Regions from separate parts of the Mus musculus genome. Here all the other regions are reported to be linked to region 4. The links are microRNA targets in miRTarBase. Many come from high-throughput screens and were not tested one by one. Region 4 holds a microRNA gene; each other region holds the end of a gene's coding sequence. Distances are from middle to middle.

Region 1 (4,216 bases), not on the chromosome of region 4:
TATGCTTTAAAGCTCACCCTGGAAAAGGCTCAGTGTAGTGGACTGAGGGCCAAAAGATTTGGTAGTGACTTAAACCTATGTCCAAACAGTACTCTCTGGTGAATACCCCCAAGTTATTTATAACAAACATACACAAACATACAGCTGGGCTGTGCCACCTCTCCAGATCATTCTTTTTTGTTTTGTTGTTTTTCGGAGACAGGGTTTCTCTGTGTAGCCCTGGCTGTCCTGGAACTCACTTTGTAGACCAGACTGGCCTCGAACTCAGAAATCCGCCTGCCTCTGCCTCCCAAGTTCTGGGATTAAAGGCGTGCGCCACCATGCCTGACATTCTCCGGATTACTCTTGTTCTTCTCCTTTTGTTTTAGACAGGATTTCTCTGTGTAGTCCTGGCTATCCTGGAACTCACTGTAAACCAGGTTGACCTCAAATGCAGAGATCCACCTGCCTATACCTCCAGGGTGCTGAGTTTGAAGGCATGTGCCATACAGCCCAGCCTCTATAACTCCTTAAAAGTATTAGTTTTGTTTATGTGTGTGGATATACATATGTAAGTGCAGGAGCCTGAGGAGGCTAAGGTATTTCATGCCCCTGGAGCTGGAGTTATAGGTAATTTTAAGTCTGATACACTGGGATCCTCTTCAAGAGCTGTGCAAGCTCCTAACATCAGAGCTTTTTTTGTCTTCACTTTCAGCGGCTGTTTTGCTTTTTAATTTGGGGGTTGGGGATGAGGTACTGAAACTGGGTTTCTTTGTAGCTCTGGAATTTACTCTCTAGACCAGAGATCCAACTGCCTCTGCCTCCTGGGTGCTGGGATTGGATGAGTCCAAAGAAATATTATTAAAGGCATATGCCACCATGCCCAATTTTTCTCCCTCTCTTGGTAGATGGGTATTTTGCTTGCATGTCTATATACATATGCATGGCTGGAGGAGGATATTGGATCCCTTGGAAGTAGAGTTTTTGGAAGAACAGCTAGTGCTCTTTACTGCTTAGTCATTTCTTCAGTCTTTTATTTCTTGAGACACTGGCTTTGCAGCCTTGGCTGACCCCACACTTGCAGTGTTTCTGCTTAGTGCATAATACACCAGCTCTGACTAACTTCTTCTATAGCATCCTGCTGAAACCAATCACTGCCTAGTGTTGCTACTGACCTGGAGGCTGACACTCCAACATATCTTTTAAGGACTGGCTGTGCATTAGCACTCTTAAAACTCTTAATTCATTTATCAAGCAATCAAATACTGACTTATCTTCCTTTCTCACCTGAAAAGTGCAGAGTAACTGATCTACTCATTTAAATGGGTTTGTTGGGAGGGTATATATTACCCATGTAAACCTGTGTCTAATATTTGGAATCATTTCATGTTACCTTCCCTAGTTTTACTTTTTTTTTTTTTAAGATTTATTTATTATATCTAAGTACACTGTAGCTGTCTTCAGATGTACCAGAAGAGGACATCAGATCTCATTACAAATGGTTGTGAGCCACCATGTGGTTGCTGGGATTTGAACTCAGGACCTTTGGAAGAACAATCGGTGCTTTTAACCACTGAGCCATCTCTCCAACCCTAGTTTTACTTTTTAAAAAATTTTGTTTGTATGAATGTAAATGACGTACCATGCATGTGGAAGGGTCGGCTCTCTCCTTCCACCATGTGGGTTCCAAAACTAAATTCACACTGTCAGCCTGAGCAGCAAGTGCCTCTCTCCCCATTGAGCTATCTTGCCTGGCTCACTAGCAAGGAAGAGGAAGCACATAAAATCTGAGCCTCATCAGTGCACACTGTAATATTAGCACTGGAGAGGCTGAGACAGGAGGATCACTTCTAGTTCCAGACCAGCTTGAGCTTCAAATCAAAACCGGTCTCAAAAGAGAGAGAGAGAGAGAGAGAGAGAGAGAGAGAGAGAGAGAGAGAAGAAAAATAACCCCTACACAAATACCTTAATCTGCCAGACTCTGAATTCTATTTTGTATTTGGTCTGGGATAAAACTTGGTGCTCTATTTACCAGTTCTATTGCTTTATGGTTTTCCTTTTGCTTCTGCTGCGTTTTTTTTTTTTTTTTTTTTAAAGTCCTAAATTTCTCTGCATAGCCCTGGTTGTCCTCATGTCGACCAGGCTGGCCTGGAACTCAAAGATCTGCCTGCCTTAACCTCCTAACTGCTGGGATTAAAGGCTGTGCCAGCACTACCTCGCCCTTTTGCTTGTTTTTTTTTTTTGGGGGGGGGGGTGTCCTTAACTCTGAAGCCAGGACCTTGAAGAACATCTGTTTTCAGGAACCTCCTGGGTCCCTTCTAACCACTAGCTGGCCAAACTACAGGGCGATCATTTCCTTAGGCAAGCAAACACTCCAGGACTTTAATATGGTATTTCCTGGGGCTGGAATATCAACAGGAAGTCTTGTGGATAAAAGCTCTGCCAAAACATTCATTCCGAGAAAAGGACTGGTTAAGTGACAAATCTGCCCAGCTTGTACAACATCCTGCAACCTCCACGTGAGGCTCCAAAGCCTCACGCCTTCAACCCTTTTCCTGCCCTTAGGCTCTTCAGCTAGCAAGATAATAGATATGGCTATGTAGGACCCTAGGTAAGAAGAACGACCAGACAAAAATGTGCACTTAAACAACGTCGGTGGGACATTTATTGGCATTAGGAAAGGGTTTCTTTAAACGATATAAATATACTGAACTCAAACTCTCCATCCAGACGGTCCTATTTCAAGATGAAAGCAAAGGGGAAGAGGTAACATTCCTGCTTCTACACCACAAAGTTTAAGGCACAAGAAGCTAGCAATCCCCAGTGCGGTACAAAACTGCTTCCCACTGTCTCTCAAGACACAGTCACTTAATTGTCAGTCCAAATTCTAGGAAAAATTCCCAGTACACCGGGGCAATCCTCCCCATCCCCGGTTCAGTGACCTGTAGCTGAGAAGCCAGGACAAGAAGACTCGCTAGGCATCTAGATCAAAGTCATCGCGCTCCTCATTGTACTCCAACACGTGCCGCTTGATCTTGGATGAGTCCACCCAGGTGACAAAGTCCTCCATGCTGCGAGTGACGAGAAAGGCGGGATCAGTGACCACGTCTGGGCCCACGCGGACATGACCCTGCTCCACAAAAGCCACAGCAGCTTGGAGATGCTGCGCCATGCGTAGCTTGAGGAGCAAAGTAGGCAAGCGGCGGCGGCAGAAGGACGAGGCCGAGACGGAGTCGCAGAGTTCCAGTGAGCCGCGCGTGGGCACCAGGCCCATAGCGTACAGCTTGTCCAACAGCGCCGCCGAGGCGCGCACGCGGAATGGGTCGCGTTCCGGCAGGTCGCGCAGGCGCCGCGCCAGCTCGCGCACCGCTCGGCTCAGCTGGTTGTAGCGCGTGTACTCCTCGCGCCGCTGCAGCCGGTACCGCCGCAGCACACGCAGTTCGTGGAGGTTGTGGTCGGTGACTTCCCAGTTTAGGAAGTCCACCTGTTTCAGCAGCTTCTGCTCGTGGAACTTAAGCTTCCGCACCATGATGGAGAATGCGGGAGAAAGGGAATACGTTGAAAATCTAGCGTAATTTCCGCCTCGACGTAGAAAGACCCCGCCTCTAGATCACTGGACCAATCAAAAGATTGGTTAAAGACACGCCCCCGGTTTTTCATTCGTCCAACTCTGGAACTTCCTGTTTTGAAAGGGGAGCGGGGGAGAAAGAATTGCGGAAGGAGAGCCGTGTCCTGCGAATACACTTTTCCTTGCATGCAGTGCGTATGCAACTAGTCTAGTCCAGTGTTGTGTTTTGTTTTTAAATATTTATTCATTTACGTATTTTGTGTATATGATTGCTCTGTCTTCATACCGGAAGAGAGCTTCAGATCCCCTGTTTGTGGTTTTCCTGGGAATTGAACTCTGGACCTTTGGAAGAGCAGTCAAGTGCTCTTAACCGCTGAGCCATCTTGGCAGCACCTAGTTTACTCTCAGAGTTCTGTCTTTGGTGACTGAAGAGAGTCTGCTCCGTCAATAGCTGTAGATGTCAGTTTCCAGAGAGAGAGGTTACTGCCTTTAAAAGAGTTGTCTCATAGTTTTGGTTGTGAGCCTATTATTTAATGGCTGAGCTATCTCTCCAACTCTGGAAAGATGGCTTAGCAGTTAACAGCACGGCTGCTCTTCCGGAGGTCATGAGTTCAAGTCCCATCGCCCACATAGTGGTTCACAACCATCTATAATGTGATCTGATGCTCT
Region 2 (4,216 bases), 89 Mb from region 4:
CAGCAGCAAGGACTGCGGCATGGGCTTCCGCGAGGGTACCTGTGGGGCCCAGACCCAGCGCGTCCATTGCAAGGTGCCCTGCAACTGGAAGAAGGAATTTGGAGGTGAGGTGGCGCGCGGGAGGAGGGCGGGAAGCCAGAGGGTATGTCCTTATAAACCGGAGGCAGGGAGGACATCCACAACCCTCCTGTCTCTCACCGTGGGGCCACTCTCCCATCAGCCGACTGCAAATACAAGTTTGAGAGCTGGGGGGCGTGTGATGGGAGCACTGGCACCAAAGCCCGCCAAGGGACCCTGAAGAAGGCGCGGTACAATGCCCAGTGCCAGGAGACCATCCGCGTGACTAAGCCCTGCACCTCCAAGACCAAGTCAAAGACCAAAGGTCAGCGAATATGGTGGGGTTGTGGGCCAGGCTACTCCATGCTCTGTCTCTGCAGAGCAGTCTTAAAGTTAGGAATGGGCAGGCACTTGAGGGCCACTCTCAGGAGATGCTAAACCCTCTGCCCAAGTAGGAACTACTCTTTCTGTTGGATCATCCGACCTGGGTTCCTGGGAAAGGCTTGTCTTTGTCAACTGAGGAAGGTGGGGTGGGATCAGGGAGGAGTTAACTCTGCGCTTAAAACTATGGAAAGGCTGTCCCAAAGGTACATGCTGCTACCTGACTCCCAACAGCTATTGAGGCCAGCAGGGCAGAGGTGACTCTGCCCATTTCCCCGGTGAGGAACTTGGAGTACTCTGATCCTAGATGAAAATAGAAAGTTGAAAGTCAGGCTTGGTAGCTCGTGCCTGTAAAAAGCGGCACTTCAGGACTGAGGCAGTAACACTGCCTTGAGTTCAAGGTTACAGACTGAGAGACTTGAGAGTCTGTCTTTAAAGGGGGGGGGGGGGCGCGAGGGTTAAAAAGTTGAACGAATAAAGAAAGGTTTCATATCACATGGCTGCCCTTTCCCACCACTTCCAGGTGAACTGGTCAGTCACCACTAGGGGGCAGGATTTTCTCTCCTTGATGGACATGTCTGCGTTGTCTGGTGAGTCCGAGCTAGGTCACCCACCGCACTAATGCATCTCCGTTATTGTTTTCCAGCCAAGAAAGGAAAAGGAAAGGACTAAGTCAGGAGGCCAGAGAGCCTCCGGCCTCGCCTGGAGCCTGAACGGAGCCCTCCTCTCCCACAGGCCCAAGATATAACCCACCAGTGCCTTTTGTCTTCCTGTCAGCTCTGTCAATCACGCCTGTCCTCTCACGCCCACACCAAGTGCCCAAAGTGGGGAGGGACAAGAGATTCTGGAAAGTGAGCCTCCCCATACCCTCTTTTGTTCTCCCCACCCTGATACTTGTTATTAAGAAATGAATAAAATAAACTCACTTTTTTCCAATAAAAGCTTCTTTTTTAATATATAAAAGCCCCTTCCCAGTTTGCCATGGAGCTCTGTCGGAGGTGGGAAGATGGGGAAAGATGGACTGAGGGGAGCTGAGGGCTATGAAGGAAGTGCTCCCTACAGCTCGTGGAAAAAGAGCAGAACATTTACAAAAAAAAAAAAAAAAAAAAAAAAAGTCTCCCAGGGACCCACAGGGCTGGGGTTAGGGAAGGGGACCTAGGTGACTCACTTGAACTCTGTCCCAGCTCATCAAGAGTTTCTGGTCCAGGCTACTGCAAGTCTGGAATTTTCTCATTGGGGATCCATGAGGGTGCTTGCTTGTGTCATTCGCCACTGTGGGCTGTATGGATCACCAAGTTCCCCACCATCACCTTTCCCTCCTTGGACCCATACCTCCCTCCGCTCAGAGGTAGAGAGGAACACTGCCCACTGCTGTTCATTTGATGTGTGACCTGGGGGGGGGGGTTCTTGACAATTTGACAATAAGATCCACCATTAATTGATTCAGTCCCCTGGAGTCTGTATCTCGGCTTAGCATGGCCTCCCAGTTGCCCTGTCCAGATGACTGCTGGCCAGGGGAGTGCCAAAGGGCTTGGCTTCCCATCCAGAGCCTGGCTGAGCAACAGTGGCAGGGAAGTCCCTCACCTTGGAGTGGGACTTGGGGGCAGGGGAAGGGCTGAGCCTACATGCAAGGGAGAGGAGGGCGCAGGAAGGCGGAAAGCACCGATTACAGCATAACGGGGGACCCCACCCTTGCAAGCCTGGCTCCTTTTGCTCCTCTCAAGATGCTCCCAAGTTCTGCTCTATTCATCCACCTCCACCGATGGTTGGCCTTGATAGAGCCACTGCCCACTCCAGCCATCGTCCCCCATCTTCCTGAGGCAAGGTAAAAGATATGGGCCAGGTGGTGCCAGTTCAGACCGTCCCTGGGCCGAGCCTCCTAGGCTTCAGTAGAGATCTGCTCTCCCATCCCAGCGAAGAGCCTCTTGTACCTCACGGTGTCTGGGAGACCTGTTCTCTTCAGCAGATGCGAACTCAGAGTGGGGCCGCCTACTCTCTCCTCCACAGCCGGTGAGCCATGTGGTTCCCCGGTACACACTCTTGACACCAGCACCTCCTAAGGCACCTGCCCGTCTACCTGGCTGTGCCGATGTTCCGATACTGGCACAGCAAAAGGTGCCGGAAGGTCTTTTTGAAAGTGGCATTGCAGAGTGCATAGCAGGCAGGGTTGATCGTGCTGTTGACGTAGCAGAGCCAGTAGCCGATGGACCACACCCTTTCGGGGATACAGCTCTGGCAAAAGGTGTTCACCAGGACCATGACATTGTAGGGTGTCCAGGTGAGGATGAAGGCCAGCAGAATGGCAAAGATTGTCCGAGTCACTTTGCGCTCCCGGGCCGCCATCTGCCGCTTCTTGCGCACCTGGTTACGAGCGATGCTGGCAAACTTTCGGGCCACATTGGCTGCTGGGCGCATACCAGCTGGCGTGGCAGGTACGATCTCGATGGCAGTCACACATTCACTGCCTGTCTGCTTTGTCACAATTTGGATCTTGGACCACTTGGAGGCTGGGTTGAGGGTTCGTGGCTGCAGGGTAGGAGCGGGCAGCGCTGGTGTGGTGGCGGCCTCTGTGGTGGACAGCTCTGTGGGTGGCCGTTCCTTGGTGTTCTGGGTGGCACTGCCTGAGCTGGACTCATTGGAAGTGTCCTTGTCAGCCACTGGGCGTGGAGGCGGGGGCAGGGCTGGCGGAGGAGCCTCTTCTAGCTTCCCGTTGCGCAGTTCCTCTCGAGAAGCGCCCCCTGGTGGAGGTTTCTTAATGCTCGGCTTCATCAGAGGGCTCTTGAGGAAAGCCAGAGTCTTGGCCTTCTTCTCCTTGGGGCCCTCGGGTCGATGCTTGTGAACACGGCTGCGGCTGGCCAGCGAGATATGAATATACAGCACCGTCATGATGACCACAGGCAGGTAGAAGGCAGCAATGGCTGTGCCGAAGGTCACCGCCGGGTTGGACAAGAACTGGATGAAGCACTGGTTATCAGGCACTGTCCTCTTGCCCACCACAAACTGCCAGAACAAGATGGCAGGGGCCCAGAGTACAAAGGACAAGACCCAGGCGGCTGCAATCATGAGGCCTGCCATCTTAGTAGTGCGGCGGGCTGGATAGGTGAGGGGCTTGGTGACGCAGAAATAGCGGTCAAAGCTGATGATGAGAAGGTTCATGACAGAGGCATTGCTCACCACATAGTCCAGGGCCAGCCACAGGTCACAGACCACGGCACCCAGGGGCCAGTAGCCCTTGATGATGTATAAGGTGTAAAGGTTCATAGAGAACGCCCCTATGATGAGATCTGCACACGCCAGGCTGAACAGGAAGTAGTTGTTGACTGTCTGCAACTGCCTGTTGACCTTGATGGACAGCATCACCAGGATGTTACCCACCACAGTCACCAGGCTCAGGGAACCAGTCACTGTCGCAATGAACACCATCTCCACTGTCTCCAGGTGGTTGTGGGCTGTTGTGACCAGGCGCACAGACTGATTGGCTGAGCTGCCATTGACAGGTGTGAAGTTCGCCATGCTGAACCCAACTGGAGACAGGTGGGCAGTGGCTGGAGGAGGAAGGAGACAGCACAGAAGTGAATGGTGGAAGAGGATGGGGGAGGGGGGAGGGGGGGAGGAGTCACAAACTGTGGCTGGAGGAACTTTATCCAGGAAAATGTCAGGGCTCCCTGTGCCAACCATTCCTGAGTTCTCAGTCCTCTACCGTTTACTGGAAGCTTCCTCAGGCAAGTACTGTAATCAGCTCAGGGCTGAGGTTATAAAAGTGAATGAACACACATGG
Region 3 (4,216 bases), not on the chromosome of region 4:
CCATTTCAGCAGCCCCTGAACTTGCTTTTTATGTTTTCTGTTTGTTCTGTGCCTGGCATTGTATCTCAGGTTCTGTTGAGAGTTCTGATTAGAGGTTTTAGGTGAATTCTCCTGTTTGCCAGCTTCTCCCTTTTCCTCCACAGTTGGTGGCTCTGTTGTCCTTAACTTTCAAATTTTTCACACTAGTGATTGACTTTCTTTCTTTCTTCCTTCCTTCCTTCCTTTCTTTCTTTCTTTCTTTCTTTCTTTCTTTCTTTCTTTCTTTCTTTCTTTCTTTCTTTCTTTCTTTCTTTCTTTCTTTCTTTCTTTCTTTCTTTCTTTCTTTCTTTCTTTCTTTTTTTTTCTTAGAGACAGGGTTTCTCTGTATAGCCCTGGCTGTCCTGGAACTCACTCTGTAGACCAGGCCGGCCTCGAACTCAGAGATCCTCTGAGATCCTCTGCCTCCCAAGTGCTCAGATTAAAGGCGTGATTGATTTTCTGTGGTTGTCAGGTGACCCCGAGTGTCCGTGGATGGGTGGGTGCTGGGTCTGCGGCAAAGATAGGCCTTGGAGGATGGTGAGAGCCAGTGGCCTGGCGAGCCGGTGGGGCGTGGCCAAGACTTACCTCTGTTCTGTCCCCCTTCCCCGCAGGTGAGAGGCCTTTCGCCTGCAGCTGGCAGGAGTGCAACAAGAAGTTCGCACGCTCGGACGAGCTGGCACGGCACTATCGCACGCACACGGGCGAGAAGAAGTTCAGCTGCCCCATCTGTGAGAAGCGCTTCATGCGGAGCGACCACCTGACGAAGCACGCACGCCGCCACGCCAACTTCCACCCAGGCATGCTGCAGCGGCGCGGCGGGGGCTCGAGGACCGGCTCGCTCAGCGACTACAGCCGCTCCGATGCCAGCAGCCCCACCATCAGCCCGGCCAGCTCACCCTGAGCACCCGCGCCTGGACCGCGCCTCCTCACCCCTTTGGTAATAGGAAAGCTGAGCGAACTTGAGAAGTCCACAGCAAAACAGTTTTCTTCACCTCAGGTGTCAATTTTTAACAAAAAGAAAAAAAAAATCTCAAAAAAAAAATTAAAACAAAACAAAAACACCACCCACAAATTGCACAAATACAGCTATCCACGAAGATGAGATTCAGCGGTGTTGAACCCCCCTCTCCCCCACCCCACCCCCCCTTTCTCAGGGATGAACGCGGTCCACGAGGTCAGTGAGGGCATGCCTTTCTGCCGCCTTACTTTGTACATAGATTTGCACTCTGGAGTTTCTGTGAGGTTTAGGATTACATTGGGGCAGAACAGGACAGCTGGAGACAGTGATGTGGTGTTTTTGCAGAAGACCCCCCCCCCCCCCCCAAAGGCCTAGGACCCTCTCTTGCCTACCACTCAATTGTGGTTCTCTGCCCTTTGGCCTGGCTAAGAGACCGGCCACCTCACAGGGATGTGGTAAGCCATGACAGACCATGGGAGCACTTGCCTATGGAACTGTGAAGGACCTCTGCCTTCTAAGGCTGGTCCTGTCTGCCTGCCTGCCTGCCTGCCTACCTACCTGCTTCCAGAAATCCTTAGGAAAATGGAGGCCAGATGCAAACCCTGCCTGGATTGGCACATCATGGCTGCCAACCACCCATGGAGGCGGCTGGGCCCTGCCTGTCCTACACGAAGGCACCTGGGACCCTTCACTATCACACTATGTTCTCAGACTGGGAAATAGTACCCTGGGCACATTGTACTGGACCTGCTTCTCCCCAAAATTGATGTTGTTTTATCCGGCTTCCTAAGCTCTCGTGCCCTGGGCCACTGGACAGGACCGCCACGCCCCCTCTCTGCCTCTTCAGTCTGTGAGTGTGGCAGCGCTCACACATCCCACAGGACTGATGGTGGCAACGGCATCGTCAGTTACCGCCTCAGAGCAGCACAGCAGGTATTCCAGGAGATGCTATTGGAGAGACAAGGACTGCTGCTCTGGGGGACACCGGATGAAAATTGTGGGAATGACTTTCTCAGAACCTTGGGTACAGACTTAGCAGACCCACAGTTCCACACTGTTGCATTACCCACTCTTCTGTCCTGCTTCTGCCTGCCCTGCTTGAGAGCACCCAAACCGCACCCAGTCTGCAGTGTGGGTCAGGGCAGGGGTGGGTGGCCTGCTGCTGGTCGGGACAGCAGGAATAGAAACCAGGCCTGCTCTATTTCTCCTGGAGCCTAGACCTGGGCTACATTGGCTTCAGGTGCTGGGCCTCGTCAGCAAGACCATGTTCTGGTTGCTCCTTTGCAGATACTTGGAGTATCATCTCCTCCCACCCTGCAGAGGTTCAGGCATTCTTCCCCTTCTCCCACGAACTCTGGGGCCCAGGAACACAAAGCCCCAGGACTGGATGTGTGTGTGTGTGTGTGTGTGTGTGTGTGTGTGCGCGCGCGCGTGAGTGTGTATTGGGTGGTGGGTGGGTTTGGGATGGACATGGGTTATCTTACAGAGACCTCTCTTCATTTTGATGTGGAGAATTGGCCCTTGTGACTCAGAGGGTCATAGATGGGCTTCCTGGGCCCAGTGTGCCTTGGTTGTGGCCATTCTGCCTCCGCCCCAACCCTCACACAGTGTGGGGGTGCAGCACAGGGGAAACCCAGAGACCATGCCCAGCCAAGTCTACAGTTTCCAGCTGTTGTCATGTGGCTCCCACATGGATCTTGGGCACCCCTTTCTAACTACCTGTGTCAGTTACAAGAGGCTAACAATGGCATATGGTGGCTTCTGGTGGCACCGTAGGTGCTGAGTTAGGCTGTGGCATTGTTGCTGCCAAAAGCAGGCGTGGTGGGTGGGGGGAGGTCCCTGCCCTGGTCCAGTGTAAAGCTGGTAACAGCTCTGCTTGCATTTCACCTGGGGAAGAGAGTGGGGTACGTGGCCAGGACCTTGACTGAAGAAGGGAGCCCTGGGTGCTTGGGGTGTGGCGATCTTCATGCTGAGTTCCAAAGTGTAGTCCCTCCCAAAGTCATTTGTGTGAGGCAGAGAAAGCCACACTCTGAACACATTTCATGTCTCAGGAATTCACATTCCAGATTCAGGAATTTTATTCCAAAGTCCTTTGGTGCACCTACATCCACAGTTCTGAAGCCAGAGGCAGCAGTGTGCCCCAGAGACCAGCCACGGTCTCTCCTTGGGAGGAGCCAGGTGTCTCCTTGTGGCCTACCTCCCCATAGAGTCACAGCAGGAGGCCTTCTGACTCCGCCACTGTCTGCACACGGGAAGGATAAAAGGACTCTAAGCCCCATCATCTTGGAATAAAAGAAAGAGCTGGTTTGTTTTAGAGCGGGTTGGGGGGGAGGGGGAGGGAGAGTGGGCATAGGCTGTTTCCAAAGAGAGCACTTAATTTAATTTTTCCTCTGAATGACCCAGGGCTGTTCCATCTGATAGATGGAAGGGTAACGTTGCCTTAAAACAGAAATATGCAGGCGTTGGCTATTTTTGGCAAATGAACGTGTCTTCATTCCCAAAGTGGTTCTCCTTTAATGGCAGGGTGTGGTCCTTTGGCATGGGGCCAGGGCACCCCTCATAGACCCCCTCTATATCATCTGGGGCTTCAGTTCATGTCTTCAAGGGGTGGGAGGAAGGAAGGAACATGACTCACTAACTTCAGTTCCAGGGGCTTTTCATTAGGTTCCCATCTTGTCATAATAAACAAGGGATGCCTTCGAAGATGCAGTCTTCCCAGACCCGGGTCTGTAGTAGGATCTTTGAGTTTCTTGCGGTTTATGGCCATATTTTCTGGTTTCAGTTTGACTGAGGAACCCCTAGGGTGCCCAGGAATAATACTGAAAAGTCAAATCTTTATTTTCGGGATGGGAATCAGAGATCCCACAATGAAAGTGCCTGAGTGAAGGGAGAGTTCCTACAGCAGTGTCAGAACTCTGGACTTCAGCCATCAAGGGTCTGGAGTTTAGCTCATGTCCCAAATGAGAAAGTCCTTCTTTGCATCAGCCATATTATGGGGCCACTGTCTGTTCCCCCAGATGCCTACTGAATTCTACAGCCATACAGAAAATAGCCCTTTCCAAAGAGGGCCTTCGGTTCTCTCTTGATGGGTGCTACGTAGGGGTGGACAGTGATGCCCTCGATGGGAGTGTGGTCCTGGAGGTGCCCTACTGTGTCCTGCCATGCCCCTTACTCACAGGACATGAGATGCAAAGGCTCCCCACCTCCAGCCCACACCATGGCAACCTTGTTCTGAGTCCA
Region 4 (4,216 bases):
TGTTTTTTATTTTTGGAAAGCCGCTGATCTCTAGCCCTAAAGACCCAGATCAAGGTAGTCACCCTTCAATAGACTGCAAAGAGTAGATTCAATTGCAGTCAACTGTGAAGTATGGACTGTGTTTCTCCCATCCTCGTAAGCAAGGACTCGCTACCCAGCTAGAAAAAGGGTGAAAAAGGGGAGCAGTCTCTGATGGGGGTTGGGGGAGATGTCTAACTCCCTTCTCCACATAGGGCCGCCAGCAGGAGGCTAGGACCCCTTTCTTTCCCCCCCCCAGGAGAGAGAGGCTCAGAAGCCACTGTGTAGAGTGGTTATTCCGGAAGGACCAGCCGCTTGTGTGAGGCAAGCACAGTGTGTTCGCTGCACAGCGGGGTGTGGCTGGTGGTGGGTGTAGAGGAGCTGCGGTCGGTGGGCTGCGGGAGAAGCTTTTGCGTGGGTCGTGCAGTAGGACAGAATGAGCGGTTCGAGAGTGTCCAAGAGGCAGTTTCTCTGCATACGTGTGACCCCGGGGCGCCGGGCACAATCGAAGGCGTTCGAGGGCTGCATCCGTGTGAGTCGAGGAGCGCGCGGAGCGGGACGCCGAGCGTGTGCGCGGGAGGCACGGGTCGCGCGGTGCGTGAGTGCGCGTGTACGCGGTGCGCGTGCCCCTCAGTTCTCAAGGACACCTCCGAGAGGAGGCGGCAGAGCCGGTGTCGGGTGACGTCACCGCGCGCCCCAGTGATAATCGCCCGGTGCCGGAGCCGAGCGCGGATACGAGCGGAGGCAGCGGCGGCGGCGGCGAGCGCGGGGACGGTCGCACCCGGTCTAGGCAAGGAGAGTGGGAGTCAGACTCCCGCAGTGCCGACCTCGCGGACGCCGGGCTCCCACCCGGCCCTCAGGAATTTGCCCGGCTTCCTTGGCACTGTCCCTGCGCTCTCCTCCACCCGGGGCCGTAGCGTGCGGGTCCTGCGGGCGCCAAGAAGGAGGCGGAGGCGGGATCGGGCGACAGCGCAGGCTGTGCTGCGGAGCGGAGGCGGCAACCGAGAAGCAGCAGGCGGCGGCGGCTCGCGCCCGGACGGGTAACTGCGCTGGCGGCCCGTGCCGGGGCGAGCCGGTCTCTCAGGTCACCCCGTCTTTCTCTCCTCGAGCAGCTTCTCGCCAGCCAGAGGCGTAAGAGAAGAGAGCTCGGCGGGTTGTAGAAAGAGACTGCTTTTCATCTCCGAACATCGAGGTTCTTTATTTTCACCGCACTCACGCACTCCTGGTGGGGCCGGGAAGAGGAGCCGGGGAAGGGCAGCTGCGGAGAGGCTTGCGCCGCCGGGGTGGAGAGGGCTCTGCACCCGTCAGAAGACTGCAGCAGGCCGGAGCACGCGCGCTCACCCCGGCCGGCTCCTGCATCTCCCTCGCCGCGGCTCCGAGGGGTCCCTACTGCAGGAACGCCCCGAGGGATTTGCCCGGGCCCTTCTCTACCTCGGGGAGGGGAAGGAAAACTGGCTCCTCGGAGTTGGGGGCGGACCAGGGCAGCACTGCCAGCTTAGCGCGGAGCCCCGCCCCGCCCGCCCGCCCCGCGGCGAAGAAGCTGGAGCATTCGCGCCCCTCAGGCTAGGACCCCACGCAAGCCGCAGCCCGGCCCCGACCCGGTCCAGCCGCTCGCCGCCCGCCGCAGCCCTGAGGGCCCCTCTGCGTGTTCACAGCGGACCTTGATTTAATGTCTATACAATTAAGGCACGCGGTGAATGCCAAGAGAGGCGCCTCCGCCGCTCCTTTCTCATGGAAATGGCCCGGGAGCCCGGCCGTCGCGGCGCCCCTCCCGCGGGAAAAAGGCGAGCCCCGGCCCCCGGTGGCCCCTCGCTCCGCGGACAAATCCGGCGAACAATGCGCCCGCCCAGAGGGCGGCCCAGCTGCTGGGCCGGGGATCTGGCCGCGGGACACAAAGGGGCCCGCATGCCTAGGACGTCACGAGAAGGGTGGGGGCGACCGCGGGGGAGAATGTGGCCACCCGGCCCCTGACCACGTGTGTCCGCAGCTCTGAGTGCTCGAGATCCCGAAGAGGGAGACGAGGGCCAGAAGACAAAGGGAGGGGCTGGGGAAGCGGCGGGCTGAGGGGCGCGGGAGGGAAGTGTGCAGCTTCCCGGGTTGTGTTGGCGCGTCCCGCTACCCACGGGCAGTCCTGGGCGCTGTCCTCGGTGCTGGCCGTGGAGTCACCCAGAGAGACGGGGCGCTAATGCGCTTGGGGCGAAGGGATGTCATGAGTATCACTGTTCCCATCTAGGGGGCCCTGGATAGTTGCCGCAGCAACCCCAGAGAAATGGGGTAGGGTCTGGGGTCACTGCAGTCTGTCCCCTGGGCGCTCTAGTTGGGGTCGCAGGGTGAAGGCGGTGATCACTTTGATTCTGAAGAAACCCCTGAACCTTAGGTTGAGGTTCGAGCTGTGGAAGTGGGGGATCTGCATCTGCATCCAAGGTCTAAATCTGGGTGGATACACTGGACCGCATCCCGCCCCCAAACCTCTCTCCAGCTATGCGGGACGCGAGGCACGTGAGGCTCTGCAGCCCAGAGAGAAAATGACAAATCCTCCTCCTCCCTCCCCCACCACCATCTGCAGCCGCAGTGACACCCACTCAGGTCTGCTGCAGGCATTTTTTTTCCTGTCCTCGGCAGCCAGCGCCACCTGCTGGCGTCCTGGTATGAGACTCTGCTCTGGCATGTCTCCTCCCAGCAAGGTTTCCGATCCCCAAGGTTACAGGCCCTATTACCTAGGGCAATGGTTCTCAACCTTCAGAATGCTGCTACCCTTTAATAGAGTTCTTCATGTTGTGGTGACCCCTCCCCCCAACCATAAAATTATTTTCGTTGCTACTTCGTATTTTGTTGCTACTTCATAACTGCAATTTTGTTACTGTTATGAATCCTAATGTAAATATTTTTAGAGATAGAGTTTGGCAAAGGAGTCCTGATACACAGGTTGGAAACTGATGACCTAGGATTGACTGTCAGTGGAGGAGGTCACAACCTCTGCACCCCCACCCCCTCAGACAAGTTGCAGACTTGCTTTTCATCTTCATGGGGTGAGTGTGAGCCCCTTTCCTGGCTCTGACCCAGATCCAGAACTGACCGCCCAAATTCTCCTAGCCTCAAGTCCTGTGCAGTTGCAGAAAAGCAAGACAAAAGGGCCCGCGTGAAGACACAAAGAGATGCTGCAGGGAGACTGCTTCAGTACTCCATGGAGAGATGCACACAGTCACACACTCATAGACCACTAGTGCCTTTGCATCCTGTCCCCAAAGCAGAGCCTCTGCAGAACCTCTGCCTCTTGGAGGGTGGAGAAGGGGCCCAAGCATACCACAGCTCTGACCTTGGGCTTGCTGTCTCTTTTTCCCTTCCTCCCTCAGAAGAGCTGCAAGGTGAACTCAAAGCAATACTGAAGGAATTGGTAGAGGTATCAGTCCTCTAGTGTAAAGGTTCCTAGGGGGCACAGGACTATGCCCCTCGTTGAGCTCTGTTGGGGGTGCTCTACACTGCAGCCTGGCTCTTTTCCCAGAGGGAAGATTCCCCCTGCCTCTCCCCTGGAACTAGAGCTCCATTCTTGTGCCACCGCTGCCCTTGCTGGAGAGTTGGCTCCTGACCACAGTGACCTTCTGGGCTGTGAGCAGAGATCGGGGTGGGGAGGATGGTAAGGGAGGTGGGCTGGAGAGTGGATAGGCGGTAAAGCCCATGGCAAGCTGCCCTGTGCCCCAGCCCAGGTTGAGTAGCAATCACCTTCACTCACCTTCATTGCACCCCCTTCAGTGGAGGCTAGGGGCTTCAGTTCAGGGGCACAGGACCAATCTGGGCATGGCTAGCAGACATGGGGCATTCGGTAGGAAGGCCATTTTTCAATCCTTACTGTGCTCAGGGTGCAGCACTGTCTGCTGGGGTGTGGGCAGGCCTCACGCAGGTGACTTAGAATCTCAGATCTACCCGTAGGGGGCTGAGTGCAAGCATCACTCTCTGACTCTCGGGACCAGCAGCCTTTTCTGCAGCCGCGCTTTGTAGCCTTTGTGGGCTAGCTTGGATGTCCATCCCTGTTTATCCTAAAATACATTCATCCCTACATAGACTGCCTGATCTATTTAGAAGCCAAGGCTCAGCATACGGGCTTGTTGGGTGCCAACCTGGTCAACAGCAAGCTGGGGAAAGAACATTCAGAACATTCACATAAACCTCCATCGGCACTGGGCCCTCTTAAGTGTAGGGA
Region 5 (4,216 bases), not on the chromosome of region 4:
GTCCTACTCCTAGAGCTAGGATTACAGGCACATACACCCATGCCCAGCTTTTTATGCGAGTGCTGGGGATTTGAACTCAGTTCCTGGTGCTTGTACAACAATCATTCTTATTCATTGAGCCATCTCCCCAGACCCTACTTGTGCTTTTTGAAACCTTCAGGTTACAAACATATCAGATTGAAGCCTGCTATCCTGTAGGCTTAGGAACTCTTAGCTAGATTAGGCTGGCTGAGTATGAATGTGAAAGGTGGTGCTTATTGGCCAAAACAATTAGTTCCCATTCTGACTCTGAAAAGGATCTTTGGGGCTCCCTCAGGTGGCTAATGTGGGAATTGTTGGCTCTTGGCATACTAAGTGTGTACCTTCCATGAAATAGGTAAAGAATAGAAAGCCCTTAGCCTCTAAGGAACAAGAAGATCAGTCTGTAAGCGAGAGTGGGCAGTTGGGTCAATGGTTAATATATGACTGAGGACATAATTAGACGGACGTGTAAAAAGCGAGGGGAGCTGTAAGGAAGAAATTATGCTGGAGATAGACTTCGAAAGAGAATCAGGTGCTGCCTCCCCCACAGTGAGCTGGAGGTTGGGTATAGGATGCTGGCGCCGAGGAAGTGGGTAGAGGATGGCACAAGCTGTACTCTTGGGGATAAAAGAGTAGACTTGTGCGAAGATTATATGCCCCAGTACAGGGGAACACCAGGGCCAGGAAGTGGGAGTGGGTGGGTTGGGGAGGAGGGCAGGGAGGGGGAGGGTATAGGGGACTTTCGGGATAGCATTTGAAATGTCAATGAAGAATATATATATATATATAAAGAGTAGAGTTGGGAGGGAGAGGGTGTGAAAGGTGGACCAGCATGTGCGGCTTCACGGCATACCTGGAACCTGTGAAGGGCAAGAGGCCATTTCTGTCCTTTGCATGGCTTTCACTTTGGAGTCCTGGACTCCACAGTGGAAGAGCTAGTTTAGAGACTTGCAGACAGAGATGACTACTGCCCTCTTCCTTATCTCCTTTGGATCTCTCTCCAAAGCAGGTTTCCCTACAGCTGCTGAGTCCCAAATTCTCTAGCTTGCAATTTTTTATTAGGTCACAGTCTTATCTGACATATTGGTGAAAGACACATGCTGAAAGGCTAATTTATGGTACTCAGAGGTTGCAGATCCCACACATGTATGCTGGGACTGTGGCTCATCTCTACCCCAGCACTTCCTGCTGTTCCCCTAGGACACCAAGTCAGGAAAGAAGATCACCTGTGCTTAATGGACAGCTACCCTGTGCTGGCAGGACACTGGCTGCCTCTGTCCCTGAAAGAACCTATGGTCTGGCGGAAGTAGGAGAAAGCAAAGGCAGGAAACACATGAAATGAGGTGAAGGCCAAGAGCCACAGACTGAGGAGCGGGAGGGGATCTGGGAAGGAAAGGAATGGCCACAAAAATGCACTGTCAGCAAGCAGGACAACCTGAGCAAGTATATGGATGACAGGGTCAAAAGTGATGGTACAGTTTTGCTGCAATACAGTACATGTTAGCCTAGTGGTGGAAGTGGAAAGGTAGGCTGGGAGAACATTGAGATCTGCTAAAGCATTGTGAGTAGTGAGGTAGAATCTAGAATTGTTTTAGGTCTGACATCCCCAGGACTGGAAGAGGGACAGATCAGCTTGCTATCACAGCACACCTGACTCAGGTGCAGATGAGCCAGGAAGAACTAGGTCAGCAGCCATAGAGATGGGAAAAGGGACTGAAATGGGAGATCACCTCATTAGACATACAGAAAGTTAGCTGCCTTCCTCTGGCTCTGATTCTCTAGGGAGAAAGTACTGCATGGCAGATGCAGAGGCCAAGCTCCATGTTCTAGGCAGCTACTGTAGGTCATCAGAAATTCAACAGGTTGGGTAACCCCTAGGACTTCGGCCTGTGATGACAGCAAGTTGTGTCTTGTAGTGGCTGAGGTGAGGCTACTTCAGTGGTTGGAACTATCTGCAGGACTGGCAGGCACAGTGCCAGGTCTATCCCCTGTCACAGTTTGGGGTATGCCCAAGGCTGAAATTTCCTGGTGCTTGCATTTCCTCCAAAAGGGCATAGTGGGTGAGTGGGCCTGAGTCAGGAAAGCTGGGAAAGAGTGAGCAGTTAAGAATGTAGGGTCTGTCTCTTTCTAATTAACTCCGTCTTTGAGGTCTGAGGGGACACTGCTTCCACACCTAGTTCCTACACCAGATTCATTCACAGGACCATCTTCTTCCCATGGTATTCTGTCCTTTTCCATTTTTCATAATTTATTTGTATTTTATGTACATTGGTATTTTTGCCTGCAAGTGTGTTTGTGTGAGGGTGTCGGATCCCTTGGAACAGGAGTTACAGACAGTTATGAGTTACCATGTGGGTGCTGGGAACTGAACCTGGGACCTCTGGAAGAACAGCCAGCAACACAAACTGTATGGCTTTTATTTCTTTGTTATTTTCCCCCAATCATCTTACTGTTGAACAGTGATGAAGAAGAACTTAGAATTCTTCAAGAATACATTTCAATGAGTTCAGAGAACAGAAATGGCTGGATTGTTAGTGGCCTGTACTCTTTGGAAAGTGGCCTAATAATGTTCTGTGAAATGAGCTGCAAAGATGTCTGTAACCCATTCTGCCCCATCTCACGGAGGAGTTTCTACTCAAACATCATGTCGATGAAGGAGACCACTCTTTTTGGCTTATTGCCAAGCAGCCATCATCTCCTGTTTATTAGGAGCTGACCAGCTAACACAGCACACACTGTACCATTGCATTGCACCATCACTGAGCAATAAAGACCACACCAGAGTCTGTGGATAAATTGAAATGATTTATGGAAAAACAATAGAGGCAGACACTGCAACCATCTTTGAAAGAGACCTAGACAGTATGTGAGGGGCAAGGAACCAGCAGTGGATTTATCCTTAAGGATTGGGGATTACATTCATCAATACTTTGAGCTATTGTACTGTGATCATATAAAATGTATGTCTGAAGGCTTACTGTGTGTTTACAATTTCTGGTTTTGCTTCAATTTTTAAGACCCCAGATAAAGACTTCACTTTAGTGCTGTCTTTCTGATAATGAACCCAGGAGACAGAAGTAGGGGTGTGGGGGAGAGAAAAAGACCCAAGCAGTAGATTATGACTCTGCCTGAGAAGTTCAATGCTATCCTGGGAGAAATGTCTCCTGTTGTCACCTCCAATGTCATGGAGGGTGTCAGGTATGCTACCATCTAACCAGCAAGGGACACACAGGTCAAGAGAAACTCAGTTAAGGATATGCGTTCTTTAGAACAGAGAGGAGAAAGTTACTGGGGAGGGCACTGGGGAACTTCACTTGTCCTTCCGCAGGTGGTGGAAACTCTGCACAGTCCTTTCCACAGCTTCATCCATGGTGACCAGTGGCCGGTACCCAAAGAGCTTTTTGGCTTTTTCACAACTGTAATAGTGGAATGTTCCAGCCAATGCCACTCGAATTGGTGTAAAGGTTGGCTGGATTTGGATGAGAGGGCTGACCACCATCACCAGTAGAGATAGCAGGAAAGCAAGGTAATAGGCCATCCAGTAGGGGATGTGGTACTTAGGGGCCTCATAATTGAGGCCTGTCAGAATGCGGGACAGGAACGTCCAGAAAGGGATTGGTTCATCGTTGGTGATGTGAAATGCCTGGTAAAAGAACATGAAGTTAGAAAGGCCTGCACAGCTGCTAGAGTGATCAGGCCACACATGGGTCCCTAAGCTCAACTTGCTGGCTCCACTTCCAACTTCTGTGGAAAGCAAAGGCACACTGTCCAGCCTGCCCCATCTCTTTTGCAGGGGCACTAAATGGTGAGGTTGTGTTATCAAGCGTCACATGCCTAGCTGCAGCAATGTGCCCGTCTTAGACTCTCAGAATGGGCAGTGTTTAAGGGCAAAGAGGGGAGGTGATACAAATTCTACAAAAGGCCAGGACTTTAAGTGAAGTTTAGCTTGCACTTAGAAGGTTACATTTGGTTTTAATCTTTGCATGTAAGATCTATATTAGATCTTTTAAACCAAAAGCTATAACCACCCCATTTCCAACCACTCCCAAAGTGGGAAAATGGAAAATGTTCCCGGGGAGAAAAGAGTACTGAGTACTCAGGAGGGATTACAGAGCTAGCCCTGACAAGTAGGAGGCAACATGAAGGAACAGAATAGATTCTCTCCACTCTGCTGACTTCTGAGTATCAAATGTCA
Region 6 (4,216 bases), not on the chromosome of region 4:
TTGTCAGAGTAAGCCCAGACTCTTCATACAGTGAGACAAGCCATTCCTAACCTGAATGCAGTTATCTAGGGATGTACTATTTTTTTAAATCCAGAGATTAAGGGCCAGTGCAAGGTGCTTGGAGAGGTGGTAGATCTCTTCAAGATCATTGTCAGAGGCAGGGCAGTGGTAGCATACGCCTGTAATCACAACACTCAAGAAGCAAAGCAAGAGTGTCTCTGAGTTTGAGTCCAGCCTGGTGTACATAGTGAATTCCAGAACAGCCAGAGCTATTTAGAGATATCCTGACTCAAAAAAAAAAAAAAAAAAAAAAAAAAAAAAAACATTGTCAGAGACCCACATGCTGGTGGATTTTGCCCTTCAGAATTATAGAATGTCAGTAGATTCCCCCAAGTGCTAGTAGGTAATAGCAGACATGGCCTGAGCCTCTTCCCAGCATCTATCTCATCTGCAAACTTAAGACAATCAGTTGAATATCTCAATACAAGACTAAATGAGCATGTAGGATGCTGGACTCAGTAACTACTGCAGAGTCCGCAGCTGCCAGACACTGTCAGGATGTAGCATAACTAAAAAATGGCTAAGCTTCGATGCACAGCCTTTCACTGAGGGACCATAGGACGTCTTCCACTGTGGAAGTAGAAAGAGAAAAGGCAGTTGTAGGTGAAGAAAGATCGTGTTGAGCTCTTGAGAATGGCCAGGAGCCCAGCCTTATTCTGGGTTGGTAGTGAGGATGAGGAGCTGGCTATAGACAGTGTCTCCCAGAGCCTGGGTAAGATCCTGCAAGAGCTCTGACCCAGGAGAGCTGGTTAAAGCTCCCAGCTGCTCCCCTGATCACTGCTGATCTGCTAAGGCTCCCTCCTCTGAACCCACCCAGAGGCAGGAAGAAGACATTAGTCAGCCACAGGCTCAGACTCCCAATATAGAGGTAAGAGAGTATCACCATGGTGTCCAGGAACTTTTAGTGGCATATCTGGCAGGTAGAACAGTGTTCCTAGAGAGCATTTGGACCTTAGGGACCCGATGAGCAGCCAGAAGATCAGAGAGTTATGCCCCAGAAGTGACTGGCTGGTAGTGAATTGGCAAAGGTAGTGATACTGAGTTGTGGGAGGGCAGAGCTAGGAGACAAGGACAGCTGTGCCTACAATGAGTCAGTGACACTTTTATCCCTTGCAGGTGGCCTCAGCCCTGAGTCCAAGAAGATCCTGACACCTACACTCAAGAAGCGGAGCCGAGCCGGCCGTGGAGAGACCACCAAGCCAGAGGAGGGCACTGAACGGCCAGAGCCCATCCAGCCTGTGACACTCAACCTGTCTTTCAAGCGCTATGTCTTTGACACCCAGAAGCGCATGGTACAGACTCCCTGAATGAACCATCCTGCCCAGCTGCAAGCCAGACCACAGTGCCAGATGCCCCCAGACATGCCTCAACCTCCCCAGTCTGAGGCAGTCAACCCCATCCCACTGCCATTGCACTGTTATTGAGCCCCATTGAGAAAACCTGGGGAAAATGAGGAACAGTGCCAGGAGGGCCTGCCACTCCATCCCTGAACCCACTCAGGATAGCAACGAGGCCTACTAGAAAATGGCCTTAGCAGAGCCAGCAACCTGGGTCTTCCCCCGATAAGAGTGTGCAGCCACTCAGCCTTGCCCCAACTAGCTGGCACCCTCCAACGGAAAATAAACATCCCATATGTGACCTAGTGTGCCCATAGTCTGCCTGTCTCCCAGGGCTTCCCAGGCATCACAGGGAGTTGTGTGCATTGGGTTTAGGGCTCGAGAGCTGCTAGGTTCAACCAAGTGGCTCCTGGGATGTTGTCAGTGGACCTTGAAGAATGGAGGTTTTCTGAACAGCTGAGTTTCCTGGGGTCCTCTGGCCAGGGGTTAGTACCCTGGGGTTCCATCCTTGCACGAGAGGTCAATAGGCCCTGGCCTCCATTTTTGGAACCATGGACTCCCAAGGGTGCTAGACCAGGGGTGGAGTACCTGGACCCTCTCCATGCTCATCTTCAGCCCCAGCACCCTCAAGCTTAGCATGGGGACTGAGATAGGGGCAAGAGGATAGAACTGACCAACGAAGGAAATCAGAGCTTTTCCAGACACCTGTAAGGGGAGCAGATGTCCCAATGTTTCTCGGTTTGGCCTCCAGACAGACGTGAAGGCCTCCCTTTATCCCAGTAATCGGTGCATTATGCTTTAATTTTCAAAAATGGCATTAAAAATATTAACAGGGGCAGGCTGTGATCAAATGACTTGGGTTTGTTAAGTCCCAGAGCTAAGAGCAGAGAAAAAGGAGCCAGACCACAGAACACAGCGTCCCTGTAAGTCATGGCCTCTAATCAGATACATCATCAGCGGACCAAGCCCCTCATGCCTCCAAGAGGCCAGGATGACAGGGGCTGCCCTTCACTGTCCTTGGCCAGGCCCCAGGCAGCCATAGTCAGGACAACCTATAGCTGAAGGCACGCAGAGGCGGGGTCTTAACTACCAGGCCTTTAGGGACCAGCTTCCTCCAGTTGTAGAACTCCCCTGGCCTGGGTGTGACCCAGAGGACAACAAATGTAGTGAGTGTAGCCACTGTAGGCACTACAAGAGCTCCTTTCCCAAAGGACCTGAGTCCCAGCTCCAAGGAACCCACTGGTGCCACCTGCATGGGCACCTCAGGGTGGCTGCCTTCTGCTTGATCCTGGGCCTCCTGTGCCCTCATTTAGCCCCACCCAGCCCTAAAGACTACCATGCTTGAAGGACAGGGCCACTGGCTGAGCTACCCCATGCCCTGCCCCACCCTATTTACCTGTTAGGAAGCCTGGGGGAGCAGCCAGTTAGAGCCAGTGAGGCCCAGGCTTGGGCACAGACCTCAGGGCGGGTAGCCAACCTGGCTGAGGTCCCATAGTCCCCTCCATCACTCCTGGGACCCAAAGAGGCCTTCCAGGATTGCAGCCTCTAAGTGTTGGTGAGTGGGTGAGGAGGTCTGAATCCTCATAGGGAAAGAAGCCCTTCTGCTCAGCACAGAGCCTGGACCAAGATCCTCCCCGGACAGGGGCCCGGAACTTTACTCCTCTCAGAGTCCTGTCTTCTCTGATTGGGCATATGGCCTTGGGCAGGTCCCCAGCTTATATCTCAGGATCCCCGTTATATAAGAGAAGCCCTGCTCTATTGGGTAGACCTGAGGACATGGGCCTCTGCTGAACATGGAGCTGCTGTTAGATTCTGCAGCCTGGAAGAAAGCCAACAGATATGTACACAGAGGTATTGCAGCCAGCCCCAGCCCTAGCCTAGCTCCAGTTGAGCCATTTTCTCCAAGACCTGTACGTGTCTCCATGTCCATATCCCAGCATCTCTCCTGAAGACTACTTTCCTAAGAGGAAACACAGAAGAATCCAGGGTTGAGCACTGGAAGGGGCTGCTCAGCATGTAACCCCTGAAAGCTTATAGGACTCTGAGAATGTGTATAAGGCAGGCCTGCCCAGTGTGGCCTCAGGACACAACTGGGCCGCAAAAGCGGCCTCTCACAGACATGCTATGGATGGACCTGAATACACGTTAGTGAGTTAAAGATGGGATAAAGGGGCAGCCCAGCCAAGGCAGCAGTGGGAGGGAAGCAGTGTGCACTGCTGATCAGGACTGGCTATAGGCGGGACCCTCAGCTCCAGGACCCCCCACCCCTCACACAGTCCCCAGCCCCAGTATTTTAGGGAACACACGACTCCAAAGGGCCAGGCTCATTGCGGCAATAGCCCACAGGAACTTGCTTGGGATCTGTGCCAAGGGTTAGAGCCCTAGACAATCCCCAACTCCTTGCCATAGTGCCTGGGGTCTGTCTTTGGAAAAGAAGCACCCTCTAGCCTACTACTAGCTGGCCTGCCCACACAATATGAAGTCACACAGCCAGTGTCACAACACAGGCTGGGTGGGGGCAACATGATTGGCAGGCCCTGGAGCATGGGGCTAATGCACCAGCACAGAGATAAGGCTTATCTGGAACCGTCCCTGGAATCGAGACTCTGATGGAAACAGGCTCGGGGTTAATATATTTTTGATAGATAACGGCTGGTAAATGGGAAGCCCTGGGGGCCTGGGGCAGAAGGGGCAGTCTCTGTCCTCCCAGCCAGGCACATGTGCACCTGGGTTCATGCGTGGACAGAGCCTCTGGACAGGGCCAGTGTCTGGACACCATGTGCTCAGGGTTTGTCTGTCTACTGCATGTGTGACATCTG
Region 7 (4,048 bases), 96 Mb from region 4:
CTTTGCTTAGTGCTGATTTTGTCATGATGTATGAGAACCCCAAAGAATGGGGAAGCCAGGGTATGCACTTCACTTTCTAACTCTAATAGCAGAAAGTTCTCATGCTCTACTTCAGCCATTCATTAAATATTTTTAAGACTCTGGAGTGGGAGGGTGTTACAAAGAACCTTCCTTCATTAGAGTTGGGACTGAAACTAAAGTAAGCCCATCCTGAGACAACGAACCGCCTTCTGGCTGCTCTGCATAGAAAAACAACACCGGCACCAAAGTAACTAAGAAGGAAAGGAGGGAAGAAGTGCAGCTGGAAGTGAAGAAATGACACAGACCTCCCACACACACACTTTAAAAACTTTTATTTATATAAAAAACTCATTTGTTTTTAAAAGCATTAACAAGAGAAAGAAAGAGAGAAAAGATACAGAGCAGAAGATATGCCCCTTAGTAGTATTCGGTGGGAGGGTAGGATTTTTGGTTTGCTGAAATTGAATGTTTAGTGTTTTTATAAATGAAAAAGGAAAAACAAAACAAACAAACAAAAAAACAGTTAAAGGTCCCCAAAGCCCATGGCTATTCTATTACCCACACCCCACCGAGAAGAAAGAGCACCAGGAAGAGCAGAAGAGGACAAGAGAACCCAAAACCAGAGGCAGATAGATGTGGGTGGGGGAGGCTCCCCTGTGCAGTGTACTCTGAGGGTCACAGAGAGCACAGAGCTCCTTTTTGCCAGAAAAGGGAAACGGGACTAGGAAGAAATGGGAAGGAAGCAAAGGTTGGGGGGAGGGGGTGACTGCAATGTATAAGAAAAGGAGTTGGTGGGCTGTGCACTTTTCTCCTACCCCATAGCCTCAATATATTAAGGAACAGGACAAGAGGGATAAAGAATTCCAGTTGCATTGAATAGAGCTTTTAGATTAAGGAAAGAAAATAAGGAAAAATGTTTAAAAAAAATTGCACCCACATAGTAGCTGCTTCTCTAGCCAAGCTGTAACACTCACTACAACAGAAAAGGGTGTAATGGAGGCATGGCCTGATTCCCTGTAGCCTTTCAGAGATGATGGGAACTGGGGACGACTAAGGAGTCAGAGTCACAGCACTCCCTCCTAACAGCCTCACTTTGAGACTTATCGGGATGGATTTTCACCAATCCCAACTGCACACTGTTAAGCAGAAGCCTGTTGTGGCTATGTCAGAGGCTTTAACAACACCCAGTAGGGACGTGAAGTTCCCTAAGTTACCACTCCTCTTCTTTGCTTCAGCTACTGGGGGTCAACAGTGGGTAAGAAAATAACAAGGTCTAACTTGCAAAATCATGAGAAATGAGACTGCAGAGGCAAAGAAAGGCACCTGGAAGAGAGGGAGGAGATGCACCCCAGGCCAAAGGCACAAAGAAGAGGCAAAGCCAGGGCAACTCCTACCTTACAAGGGCAAAGGGGGAGGAGCTATGTACAAGTCTTGTAAGTTGGCCAACAAATCCAGGGAAGGGGAGGAGAGGGAGGACAAGCTTATAAAGGACGAAGAGAGATGGGGTGAGGGGGCTGAGGAAAGCCAGCTCTGAAGCTTCCTGCCAGTTTCAGACTAACCACTTCATGTACATTCCTCCTAGAGGTTCATCTTCTCAATAGACAATCTTTCTGTTTCTTCTCAACCAGGGGGTTCCATGGCATTCTCCTTTTTACAAAGCATCTTGCAAAACAGCCAGGTCAAGTTAGCAGGTTTATCACAGGGTAGGAGAGGAGGGTTAAGGACAGCCTTGGTCAGGACAGCACCCCAAGGTTATCCTGAAGCTGACAGAGAGATGGAGTCTGTAGGTCCTTTGTGGTCCCTGCCTTGAACAGGAGGAACAAGAGTTCTCACTCTGAGGTTGGGGAGTACTTCACTTACTTGAGGGCCCTTGCCAGGTGGAATGTGCCAATGTTTCCAGCCTTCTTGGCTTCAAAAATCGCCACTGGATAAGGGAAGAACTCACACTTCCCCATCCAAAACAAAATAAAAAGTTCCCCCCACACCAGAAAAAATAGTCTTGATTAAAAGTCATCAGTTTGTCAGAATGCTGACTGCTGAACAGACAGTGTGTAATTTTCAGTTCTTCCCATTGCTTCCAGTAGAGAGTTCCACTCTCCCTCCCTCTATGCAAGGCCAAGAGTTCCAGGGAAGGCTGGCAAAAAGAGCTAATCTGCAGCAGTTTCTCAAGATATGCAAATAACAGAGTCAGGTTTCTTGGGGGAAAACTGGAAGTAGGGTCTGGGAGGATAGGACAATTAAACTTCAGTGGAAGATGTAGGTAATTCACGGATGACGGCAGCCAATTTGGGCTACAAGGGTAGGAGTCAGCCTGGCAGTTGGCACAATAGTCCAGCGAAGAAAGGAAAAAAATCATCAGTCCATTTCACCACCAAAAAATAAAAGTAATATATTATAAGCCCATATGGAGCAGGTAGAGTGGCGCTAAATCTTCTGCTGTGGGGAAAAAAGAGAAGGCTGTTAAGGCTGAGGACAGGACGACAGGGGAAACATACACAGCTGAGCAAATCTGGAGGCAGGAAAGCAGCACACAACATAGAACCAGATCATCCGCTGCATCCCAGCCTGGGAAGAGGTCGTGATCACAGAAGTAGAACCCTTGGGTACCATGCGGCTCAAACAAGTATCGCAGGCCTGATCAGATCAGCATGATTGGCAAAGAGTAGGCACACAGCAACCTCCTTCCTCAGGACCATCTTAGGGGTGACTGGAGGACATACCATGGGGGAGTAAGACACTTGGTTCCCCTCATCATCCAAAACCAACACATCCAACTCTTCCTCCAAAGATTCCTGCCCCTCGTCCTGCTGTGAACACATGCAATTTGTTAGTAAGAGAACCAAGGTAAGACTTTCTAAGTGTGTGCCAGATGGAAGGGAAATCCCAACATCTGTAAAGTGAACAAACCCTGTTAAGAGTACAGGGCAAACATCCTAAACAGGTAAGTGCAAGAGCAGGGAGATGTCCTCGAGAGCAGGTTAGTTAGTGTCAGTGACGTCAGCAACGCTTGCAAAATCCATCCACACAACCAATGAGCAACATCCCAAGAACCATCAAGATGCATCAAAGAAAACCTACCAAAAAGATTTGTCTTTTTCTTCCCGCCGCCTCCCATTTTATATATCATACAGTTTCAAAATAGTATTAGCCTCATACACAGCAATACATAACAAGGATTTACCATCAAGGGTGCTCCCTTCAATGGTTCCATATCACCCAGATCCCCAGATCGGTCCAGTGTTCTGTTGTGGTCTCCTCTCTCATTCAGTGTGGAATAGTTGTTATCTAGAGGAAGAAAGTACACAGAAATAAGACATTCCTTCTAGTATACAATGTATGTGAATATGTGAATTAGATTGTGAAATGAACTGTTTTAGATGCACCAACAAGATATTAAACACTGGTGCTTTTTAACACTTACACATAACTTGAGTATAATGGGAAAGATGGTGTATGAGAAATACCCAATACTGGGGATGTACTTCAGTGGTAGAGTGGTTAGTCTAGATTCAATTCCCACCACTGCAAAAACAACAAAGCAATAACAACAAGAAACAACAGTGTATCCCTTGGTGAGTGACACTAAAGAGACCTGGCCTACAAAAGAGATACAGCCCTGAAATTGAGAGAAGACAGAGAAATATGTTAACAATTGAAAGAAACTGATAAAGCAAAACACAACTTGAGTTTAGGTTTTGGGAATGAAAAGAATTTAGAAGAACAAAGGGGAAGGATATTCCCATAGAAGGCTTCATATACCCAAGTAGAATGATGAGATAGAATAGCAAATAGGAAGGAGGAACAAGAATTTGAGGTCATCCTCGGCTAACCTGGGCTATGAAATCCTGCTTAAAAAAAAAAAAAAGACCAGTAGAGAGTAAAGAGAAAAAACAAAGAGAGTTAGGGCTATACTAGTTATATGCCACATGAGACTTTCTGAGAACATATGTGGGAAGAAGAGGATCTATCAAGAATTCAAGGTCAGGGGGCTAGAGTGATGATAGTTCAGCACACTTGTTGCTACTGC

The links. Region 4 holds the annotated microRNA mmu-miR-124-3p (UAAGGCACGCGGUGAAUGCC, at 1,701-1,720, shown strand). A microRNA usually pairs through its seed, bases 2 to 8, with sites in the 3' UTR of a target mRNA and lowers its output. Matches are read on the target gene's strand: a 7mer-m8 pairs with bases 2 to 8, a 7mer-A1 pairs with bases 2 to 7 and ends in A, and an 8mer does both.
Region 1: the mRNA of Imp3 is a reported target of mmu-miR-124-3p. Seed matches in the 3' UTR shown: 8mer at 2,776-2,783.
Region 2: miRTarBase lists Mdk as a target of mmu-miR-124-3p. Seed matches in the 3' UTR shown: 7mer-m8 at 1,194-1,200.
Region 3: the mRNA of Klf13 is a reported target of mmu-miR-124-3p. Seed matches in the 3' UTR shown: 7mer-m8 at 2,539-2,545 and 7mer-A1 at 3,413-3,419.
Region 5: miRTarBase lists Nsdhl as a target of mmu-miR-124-3p. The part of its 3' UTR that is shown has no 7-base or 8-base seed match.
Region 6: the mRNA of Eefsec is a reported target of mmu-miR-124-3p. The part of its 3' UTR that is shown has no 7-base or 8-base seed match.
Region 7: the mRNA of Ctnnd1 is a reported target of mmu-miR-124-3p. Seed matches in the 3' UTR shown: 7mer-m8 at 1,378-1,384 and 7mer-m8 at 1,338-1,344.

What each region holds. Positions count from the first base shown.
Region 1 is chr9:56,936,799-56,941,014 of GRCm38, reverse strand. It overlaps Imp3 (IMP3, U3 small nucleolar ribonucleoprotein), which reads right to left and starts at 3,515. Exons shown (of 1, transcript NM_133976.2): 1 at 2,617-3,515. The coding sequence starts at 3,508. The coding sequence ends at 2,954.
Region 2 is chr2:91,926,984-91,931,199 of GRCm38, reverse strand. Mdk (midkine) reads left to right here. Exons shown (of 5, transcript NM_001012336.2): 3 at 1-104; 4 at 221-382; 5 at 1,085-1,395. The coding sequence ends at 1,110. Chrm4 (cholinergic receptor, muscarinic 4) reads right to left here. Exons shown (of 2, transcript NM_007699.2): 2 at 1,371-3,983. The coding sequence starts at 3,951. The coding sequence ends at 2,512. Among named protein-coding and RNA genes, the nearest start is that of Mdk, 2.8 kb to the left of the region's middle.
Region 3 is chr7:63,888,211-63,892,426 of GRCm38, reverse strand. It overlaps Klf13 (Kruppel-like factor 13), which reads left to right. Exons shown (of 2, transcript NM_021366.3): 2 at 630-4,216. The coding sequence ends at 919. Among named protein-coding and RNA genes, the nearest start is that of Gm27252, 6.1 kb to the left of the region's middle.
Region 4 is chr2:180,892,383-180,896,598 of GRCm38, forward strand. It overlaps Mir124a-3 (microRNA 124a-3), which reads left to right and starts at 1,658; the gene lies at 1,658-1,725.
Region 5 is chrX:72,956,730-72,960,945 of GRCm38, reverse strand. Nsdhl (NAD(P) dependent steroid dehydrogenase-like) reads right to left here. Exons shown (of 8, transcript NM_010941.3): 8 at 2,418-3,664. The coding sequence ends at 3,332. Among named protein-coding and RNA genes, the nearest start is that of Zfp185, 29 kb to the left of the region's middle.
Region 6 is chr6:88,255,352-88,259,567 of GRCm38, reverse strand. It overlaps Eefsec (eukaryotic elongation factor, selenocysteine-tRNA-specific), which reads left to right. Exons shown (of 7, transcript NM_023060.3): 7 at 1,177-2,234. The coding sequence ends at 1,367. Among named protein-coding and RNA genes, the nearest start is that of Dnajb8, 35 kb to the right of the region's middle.
Region 7 is chr2:84,600,447-84,604,494 of GRCm38, forward strand. It overlaps Ctnnd1 (catenin (cadherin associated protein), delta 1), which reads right to left. Exons shown (of 19, transcript NM_001085450.1): 18 at 3,203-3,306; 19 at 335-2,457. The coding sequence ends at 2,446. Among named protein-coding and RNA genes, the nearest start is that of Ctnnd1, 48 kb to the right of the region's middle.